Linked DNA regions of Bombyx mori. The protein of the gene in region 1 purifies or fractionates together with the protein of each later gene. This does not show direct contact. Links are inferred from orthologs where the notes say so. Each region holds a gene or a part of one and is shown on either strand. Other genes may lie near its edges.

The links. Proteins that work in one complex are often made in the same cells at the same time.
Region 2: the proteins of syntaxin-1A (region 1) and synaptosomal-associated protein 25 purify together in Drosophila melanogaster (affinity purification with western blotting; 4 studies listed by BioGRID, with this or other methods). This does not show direct contact. The link is inferred for Bombyx mori from reciprocal best matches to the Drosophila melanogaster genes Syx1A and Snap25.

The regions. Positions count from the first base shown.
Region 1 is NC_085116.1:5,340,315-5,344,951, reverse strand, and holds part of syntaxin-1A, read left to right. Parts: intron 1-1,139; coding exon 1,140-1,239; intron 1,240-4,637.
Region 2 is NC_085131.1:7,036,408-7,040,629, forward strand, and holds the end of synaptosomal-associated protein 25, read right to left. Parts: intron 3,484-4,222; coding exon 3,186-3,483; 3' UTR 1,247-3,185; coding exon of another isoform or gene 1,184-1,246; 3' UTR 1,151-1,183; downstream 1-1,150. UniProt on the Drosophila melanogaster protein: May play an important role in the synaptic function of specific neuronal systems. Associates with proteins involved in vesicle docking and membrane fusion.

The DNA of each region.
Region 1 (4,637 bases):
TATATTTTGACATTCAACAAGTGTGTTATACTGACATCTAAGTTGAAATAAATGATTTTGAATTTTAAATTTTTTTGAATTTTGAGTATTTTTTTGACTTTGTAGGCCACGAGCATACGGCCCACGGATGGTAGGTGGTTACCGTCGCTCATGAACGTCAGCAATGCTTAGGGGTAGAGCCAAGCCGCTGCCTACCATTAAGTACTCTCCGCAAGCCTCGTTTGAAGAAGGACATGTCTTAGCGCTCGGGAAACACTGTAGAGGGAAGTTCATTCCAAAGTCGAATGGGACGTGGCAGAAAAGATCTTTGGAAACGCACTGACGTTCATTGCAGCGGTTCCAGATAATATGGATGAACTCTGCTCCAATAGCGGGAGGTGTGATGATAAAAAGGAGATGAGGAGATCATCCCGAATAACTCTTCAGATCATTTTCCATGGGACATACGGTACAAAACACAGAAAGAACCGAAGTCCCTTCGTAGATCCAGAGGTTGCAAGCGATTCGCGGGAACGGGAATGACAAAAGGGTCCTTCTTCGCCGTGAACGCGCAAACCTGTGTCTTCAATGGGTTGAACTGAACAGAATTCAGTTCAACCCACTTGGAGACCCGCCCCAGAGAGTTTTCCACTTCAGACATAATAAGTTTGATCGCCTATCTTGGCACCACGCTTCGAAAGAGACTGATGGCCGAGATATCGCGCATCCCCCGTGCTATCATCAATAAACTGGTGGTAAATGCCGCCCATATCATTATTTAGCCCTAAAATTATATTCACGTACGTAGTTTTTTTTTTAAATGCGATTAGTAGGCTAGGTCAGGATGAGAGATCTTGGCCGGAAGCCAGAACTGCCTTCGTGCAACACAAACTCAACCTCTTTAAACCAACACCGATTTAGAAACAACCGGCACACTGCAACGAAATAAATCCATTCATGAGTAATTAACATTGAGAACAAAAGATATCCAATGTTCTGGGAGCGGCAGAATTATTAATGAGCTAGATATAGTCTGCGGGTTAGCGTTAGGTGTACTCGTCGAGATCGGGTCAGAACTTTTATTAGAAGATTCATTCATTAGTTTCTCACGTGAATTTGTAATGCGTGAACGGTTTCATTCTTTTTTTTATCTTTTATAGGTTGAAGAAATACGAGAGATGATAGACAAGATTCAGGCGAACGTCGAAGAAGTGAAGAAAAAGCACAGTGCCATCTTATCAGCGCCACAGTCAGATGAAAGTAAGTAAACGAAAAATAGACTGAATTCTGAATAATAAAGACACGACAAGGCAATTTGAACCCTCATAATTGAATGTTTTCTCCAAAAATACCCACACAAGGGAATTAATTTAGCTTGATGGAATTAAGGTTCAAATTAAAATAACACAATTATTTTATTTACCGTACCATATGTAAATATATGTCGTGGTTGGTTTTTGTTAAAATTTTGTATATATCATAGTCTAACTCTTTCTAAACCCGCTACACAATGCAAAATCAGTAATTTATGTAGAATGGCACTCGGCTGGTACGTGCGGGAATCGAGGCGGATCAAAAATCGATTGCTCTCTTCTATATTTGGATGATAAAACGTGATCAATTACAATATTGAATTCGTGCTAAAAATAACGTAGAGTGCCGTTAATTTATTAGCACGGGTGTTTATGTTAACGTGGGTAGCAAAGCTCGCAAAATAACCCACACAGTAGACACCGGTGGGCGGAAGGGCGAAGTTGACGGCATTTACTTGACTTTAACGCGCTGAAACTTTCTTCGTCTGACGTACACGAGGTTCTTTGTGAGATAATAATATTTCAATCTAATTTTGTAGAAAATATTTTCGCCGATTTATTTTATAAGTGGATTTTTAAACTTTAAAGGGATTTTGTGAAAGTTAAAATGAAATTTAATTATCGTTCTGAACGTTATAAAGTTCTCGATATTTGCCGTATCGACCTAAGTTTATGTTGTACTATAATATATTGAAGTTTTCAATAAAATAATAATAATATCGACAATTATTTAGTACAAACAAAACAAAAATAAATGTACTGGATTATTAGTTTTTAGTTTGTCGCGATGACAACAGACTTTTTGTGCTATTTAATGAAGTTGATCTTGTTTCTAGCAGATTTTAAATAGAGATCATTACAATTAAATCGCCCTAGCTAACAGTTTTTATTAGTTTTAAGAAATATATTACTTTTATGCTTATATTACTTTACGTATAAGCTTTCAGTACTTAAATTAAAATTTAATCTACTCGGTAATTTAGTCATTGTTTCAATCTTATCAACGTTTAAACAGTCGATAGTGATAACTAATACAATCCATTGTATTATTCTGAGTTTGCGCCATTCAGAAATGAAAATGAAAATATTGTTTACATTTTTATGGGACATACTTAAAAATATTTCGATTACATCAACCTTCAAATAAATGAAAAGTGAATTGAGAACGGTCTATTTGGAAGCTGGAATGTCATAGGCAGTCAAAAGCCCCTCGTGACAAACATTTCTTTTAGCAACTAGATTAGATAAAATTCATCCCACACGCAACGAAAGTATGTAATTAAATATACATAATATGCATAATTAATTAATTGGAAGGATAGAGATGGCTTAATGGTCGAGAGTCGACGGCAATGAACTCGGCAAGATCGCCACGAATGGTCGAGATTGGCCATTGACCCAGCCTAAATAGCTTCGGATAACCCATCGGTTCAGTCATTAATATCGAAGAGATTCGTGATAAAGCTTTACGTTATCAAACACGATTCCTACGAAAGGTTTTTTGAATCCGTGGTTGCTTTACAGGAATTTGGAATATATTTGTTTCAACTTTACGGTTACTGGTGGCAGAACCTATGTGAGTCCGCGCGGGTAGGTACCACCACCCTGCCTATTTCTGCCGTGAAGCAGTAATGCGTTTCGGTTTGAAGAGCGGGGCAGTCGTTGTGACTATACTGAGACCTTAGAACTTATATCTCAAGGTGGGTGGCGCATATACGTTATATATGTCTAAGGGCTCCAGTAACCACTTAACACCAGGTGGGCTGTGAGCTCGTCCACGCATCTAAGCATTAAAAAAAAACTTTATATCTACATCCTAATACGTTGGATGTACGTGTTCGTTTAGAAGAACATAAGAACTTTTTGTTTGATAATTGTCACTTTATTTCAGAAGTGGGTGGGTGAAAGAGCTCATGGCCATAAAAATCGTAAAATTATTGCCGACACCCACTTTGCCATGGGGTCAATTCTCAATTTAATAGTATAAGGACTGTCCGACCCTTCAAATCTTAATATATTAATTACTGTTTCGCGCCAAAAACAGACAGACTGGTTGTATCTATCAGTGCGAGTTCACGAGACGCCCTAACATCAGTAATCAGAAAATCTACTTAATATCTTATGCCTGTATTCTAGCATGTTCTTTCTTGTCGATTCAAAATACGAACAAAAGAAAATAAAACAGTAACTTTAAAATTTGTATGAAGGATTTTTTTTAAATTTGGATTAATGTACTTTACAAAATTTAATGTTCTTGGAAGGAAATAAAATAACCTGTTTGGTTATTTTTTAATTATTAATAAAATGCGAGTGCGGAAACGACAGTCTAGGCATGCTTTTAATTAAAAAAAAGTCGTCGTTTAAATAGAATAGAATTTTAAGAAATGCCCAGCGATACCATAATCTACACTTTCTCAATAAAATACTGAAGAATGGAATTTTTCAGACAAGTTATATTACAGTTAGGATAACAACTTTAACATACATCAAGAAATTGAAAAAACTTTGTCACTCTTTTACGTTTTTAAAAAGATCATTTTCCGCTCGACGGCAAGCGACCGAAAGGGCGACATTTTCAGAGAATATTTCCTTAAAATAAAACTGATTTTATTCACGAAGTTTGTGTTGGCTGTAAAGACCTCTTTTGTGAAAGCTCGCTCGATTGAAAATGTGTACGTGAGCTTGCAAGAATGCTTGTGAAGTGTCGCAGGAAAATAGCTGTGTTCTAGATATTACCAACTCATTTTCACGAAACTTTGGTGGTTTTTAATTGAATTTTACAAAACTTCTTGTAGATACAAATTTTATTCAGCGCACAGGTGTGTGCTTGTTCACAATTGAATGAAAATGGGTAACGTTGAATGGAAGACGAAATTTAAACATATAAATAGTCGGCGAACCAGGTTATGTTAACTCTGTTCATAATATGAGCACTACAGCTGAAATAGGACTTCGGGGACCCAAGTTTGAAACAACACCGCTGGGAAAGTGTTTTCAGTACAACTATATATACAGAACATTGTGTTAATTTCACGGGAAATCCTAAAAGTTCTACGTACAAAACCTCAATATGTCTTCAATTTTATTTTTCAACGTTGCAATACGTGCGCCCCTTCAATGATTTATTCATATTGAAAAGAAGAGAATTTATTGACGTTTTTGAATGTAGAACGTGCACCGATAACACCTCCTCGTATTGAAGCCCAAAAATAAATGCAAAATGAAATTTCCTATCACTCGGAAGGCAAATGAAAACTTTATACGTTATAAAAGTAATCTAGTTTGGTCCGAGTTACTTTGGCCTAATTTAATACTAAACTGCGGCTAAGCTCCCAAGAGACCCTG
Region 2 (4,222 bases), on another chromosome or scaffold:
AAAGGTAGGTAAATAGAATAAGTGCGTTCAAATAATTACCTTACTAACTATAATAGATAGAAGGTGACAAAAGTTTTTATGAATTTTAAGTTTATATAACTTTATAGAATTAGGCTACAATTTTTAAGGTAAGGTAAATACAGAAAAAATGTATTACGAGATATTTTATTTAGATTAATAATCGAAGGAATAAAATTATTCACTGAGTTACATATGTGCTTTTTTCTATAATATAATGTTAAAATTTCGTTTTCAAAGTATATTCTTCTATTGACTGCTTTATAGAATATCGTATGAATTTATTTTCTCATTCGTTTTACGTCAATATGCCATATGAATTGTCTAAAAGCGCTTTTACATTCGAACATTTAATTATGGTTATTAAGATATAATTACTAAAAGGAAGCACAGACGTCATCTTTTCTTCAATACGTAATCGTAAGGAAGCTAACTGATTTGTTTTCTTGCTGAAAAATTCTATAAAGCAGTTAAACAAGCATACGTTCGTAAGTAAGAATTTGTTTAGCACAGATAGAACAGCTAGTTCATCTAATAATACTTTACATGAGTCGTCTATTATCAAAGGCGGCAATCTGTACATTTGGACAAAATTTTTTTATTGATATGTCAATACAGATTTATTTGAATATAATCGTCTCCTTCAAAGAATACGGTTCAAAACCTGCATTAAATAAAGGTTAATAGTTAACCTGTTATTTATCTAAGATGTCGTTCCGAAGAGTTTTGTGACTGCCAATGGAATACAAAGTCAATAATTCGTTTTTCTGATTTACCAATCATTGTCCAAAAGTCAGATTGCCGCCTTTGATAATAGTCGACTCACATACAATAGCGCAAGGACGAGGCTTTTTGAACATCTATATGCTTTTTACAAACCACTAAAAATATACTTGTCATTTATTTGGTTATCAAGATGCAATCAAATATAGCATCTTAATTCAAACCAATGTTTACTAGAAACTAATAATGCCAAAACTGTACCATCATATTTTATACGTACCATTTGAAAATTCTCTATTATTATTCGTGAACAAATTCAAATACGGACTATAGATTAGGCGCTTTTAGGATTATTATTTTTTTGTTGTTTGATTTACGCGTATTTATAAACAATCCACGAGACTGTGTGTTTGTCTGTTGTGTGTTTGAGTGCCGCCGTCGTTTACTTGAGGAGCTCGTGAGCGCGCTGGTTCGCCAGAGTTATCCTCGTTTCATTTGACTCTCCCTATGATACACAAGACCCGTATTTTTTTTATATATATATATAGTACAAGCTCAATACACAGCGACTGCTCATGTTTATAATAATAAAAGCGGCGTCGGACCGGCTATAACGACTTATCCGCGCTTGCCATTTCCATTGGCATGTCAGTCGCTGTTTCTTGACAGACAGAGTATATAACATGTTAGTTAGTATGAATGCGTGTTACTGATGACCTCTAATTCTGCGGGAGTCGGACATGTTATTCGAATGATGTCGGAACTAATTCCGGTATGTGGTTATGTAATGTATTCATTGGGAGTCATGACATCGTGAGACGAGAGTACATTACTAAATTACGAAAAAAAAAAAAATCGTATCATTCTTATTTCTAAATCTAATAGAGCATGCTTAAGATAGAAGAATAGGCGATAAGAGTATGCAACTATATCACATTTGAACACTAATTTTTTATAGGTCGACTATTTAAGGTTTATAAACAGATTTAAAACTTCATACATAGTTAATAATAATGATAATAACCGGGAACAAGTGACAGGCGGTCATCCAGCCTCAAACAAGAGACTGATATAAATAGCAAAAAGACCTTTTAATTATTATTTTTGCGTACTGTTGGACGAGCTCACAGCCCACCTGGTGTTAAGTGGTTATCGGAGCCCATAGACATCTACAGCGTAAATGCCGCCACCCACCCTGAGACATGGGTTCTAAGGTCTCAGTGTTACAATGAATGTATGGCCAATGTGGAAATCGAACCCACGTTCTTCGACCCAGCAATCAGGAGCACCATCGATTCAGTCACCAAGTAAAATTGTTTAAAACTTCATATTTACTTCTTTTTTTTGCATAATAATATACTTGGTTGACTTAGCTGTCGTGGAAATGTATATTTTATATCTCCTCGTAATTGGCTAATGAGGAAATAATAACTCTTTTTGGGTGTCTCACTTGGCGACGGGGGAATTTGGTTATTCTATTCGTATCACAGATTAATCTAAGCGCCGGAGGTAACAAGAGATTTTATCCGCTTCATAGGCTTACTTGGCTACCGAGGAAACATGTTATTTTATCTTATCATAAATTGACAGGGCCGTTGAGGAGATATTATATTTTAACTGCCTCAAACTCTTATTCGACCAAAGTAAGTTAATCTCTAAATAACAACAACAAGAACAATTCTTTTATCTCCAGATGACCAATGACATGCATTTCTTGTTCGAGACTTTTACAATAGCAACACTAAGTAGAATTTAACCAGAATTACGACCTAAATCTTTATAGGTTATAACGACTTTTAAAAATAAATCCTAGCTACGTCATGTTTTCAGTTATTAACCAATCGGATTTCGACTCTATTTTTTTTTCTACCCAATACCTGCCAGTAAGCGGGTGATCAAACAATTTCGAGGGCCACTAAGCGCTACATTTTTCGTATAATGGACAAACTCTATCTAAGCAACTTCGTTACTATAGTGACAGGCAAATGCATACACATTGAAATGGTGATCAATGAGTGCTATGAGAAGCGACAGAATTCATCGAGGAAAATCAATTCGTTTCTTCTCATTAGCAGATTAAAATTTGAAAACCACACCAGATAATGTACAAGACGAAGATTTGAAATATATTTCGATTTGATCAGTAAATTCGTTGGTAGTGTTGCCATTTTATTTATTTCTCTGATGTAAATATTAAATATAATAATTACTGTAGATAATTAGTTTAATAAAAAAAACCAGACTATTTTTGTTGTATCTTAATATTAAAAACATGAAAAAGTTAAGTTTAAGAGAACTTTAGAATCTATTTAAATGTTATTTTCATTTATTCTTTATGATAATATAGACAAAAAAACATTTTAAAATACGTCTGTACATACGTGCAAAGGAGTGCTTAACTACTCTTTTTTAATTTTATTTCTTTTCAGGAATTAAATAACAGCTTATTTAAATTTAAATAGAAGTAAATGAGAATATAGTAAAAAAAATTTTCTATCTGGCAACACTAATTTTACGTAAACATTCAACGAATTTACTTTGTTCGAACTATACAGGTCTGTCACGTAGTAGGGTTGTGACGAACCATTCGATCTTACCTTGCGATTGATGCGGTCGATCTGTCGGTTCTGGTTCTCGAGCTCGGAACCCATGTCCAAGGCCATGTTGCGCAGATTCCCGATCATGGTGTTCACTTGACCCATGTTCTCCTCCATTTCGTCTTCACGAGCGTCGTTCGTTATCCTATCACACGACTTATATATTAAACGACAGAAAAAATATCTATCGTAAAAAAAACGGATCAACATTAATTGATTTTTAGATTAAATTTAGATTAATCGATATATTAATGCGAGAAGCAAAAATTTTGTATCCCTTTTTAAGAAAATTGCGCGGACGGTATGAGTATGAAACTTCCCACTCTTATAGAGAATATACAGAAGGGGTGAAGAATGTTATTTTTTTTTAATTTGCTTAAAAATTCATGAAATCAATAAAACAAGACATTACACACACTACCATTTGTATATGTATTTAACACACACAATGCGTGTGTGTTATATACTATTTGTTTATTGCCAAACTTTTCTTATTGCTTATAGTCTGTGGTCAAATTGAGAATAGATTAAATATGACTTTTTGGCGGGAACGCGAGGAGTGAAGTTGTGTGATTTGTTTTATTTTGTCTATTTAGTGTTTCTTCGAGTTCAAATGTGTAATAATGGTGGTTTATTAACTGTTTAAAATCTGTGAAAGTGCACAAATGAGGGAAAATGAAACAAAGCCGCTGGACGTAACTTCTCGGGATCCTCCAAAAAGTCCACTGAAAAATCTTAGTAAATGACCACCATTTTACTGGGATTATATTTCATCCCATATCATCTCATTTCATTTCATTTCATCCCAGTTGATTAATGTCTCAAATTAATCATCTTCATTTCATTTCACTCCATAATATCATTTTTCATAAAAATATGAATAT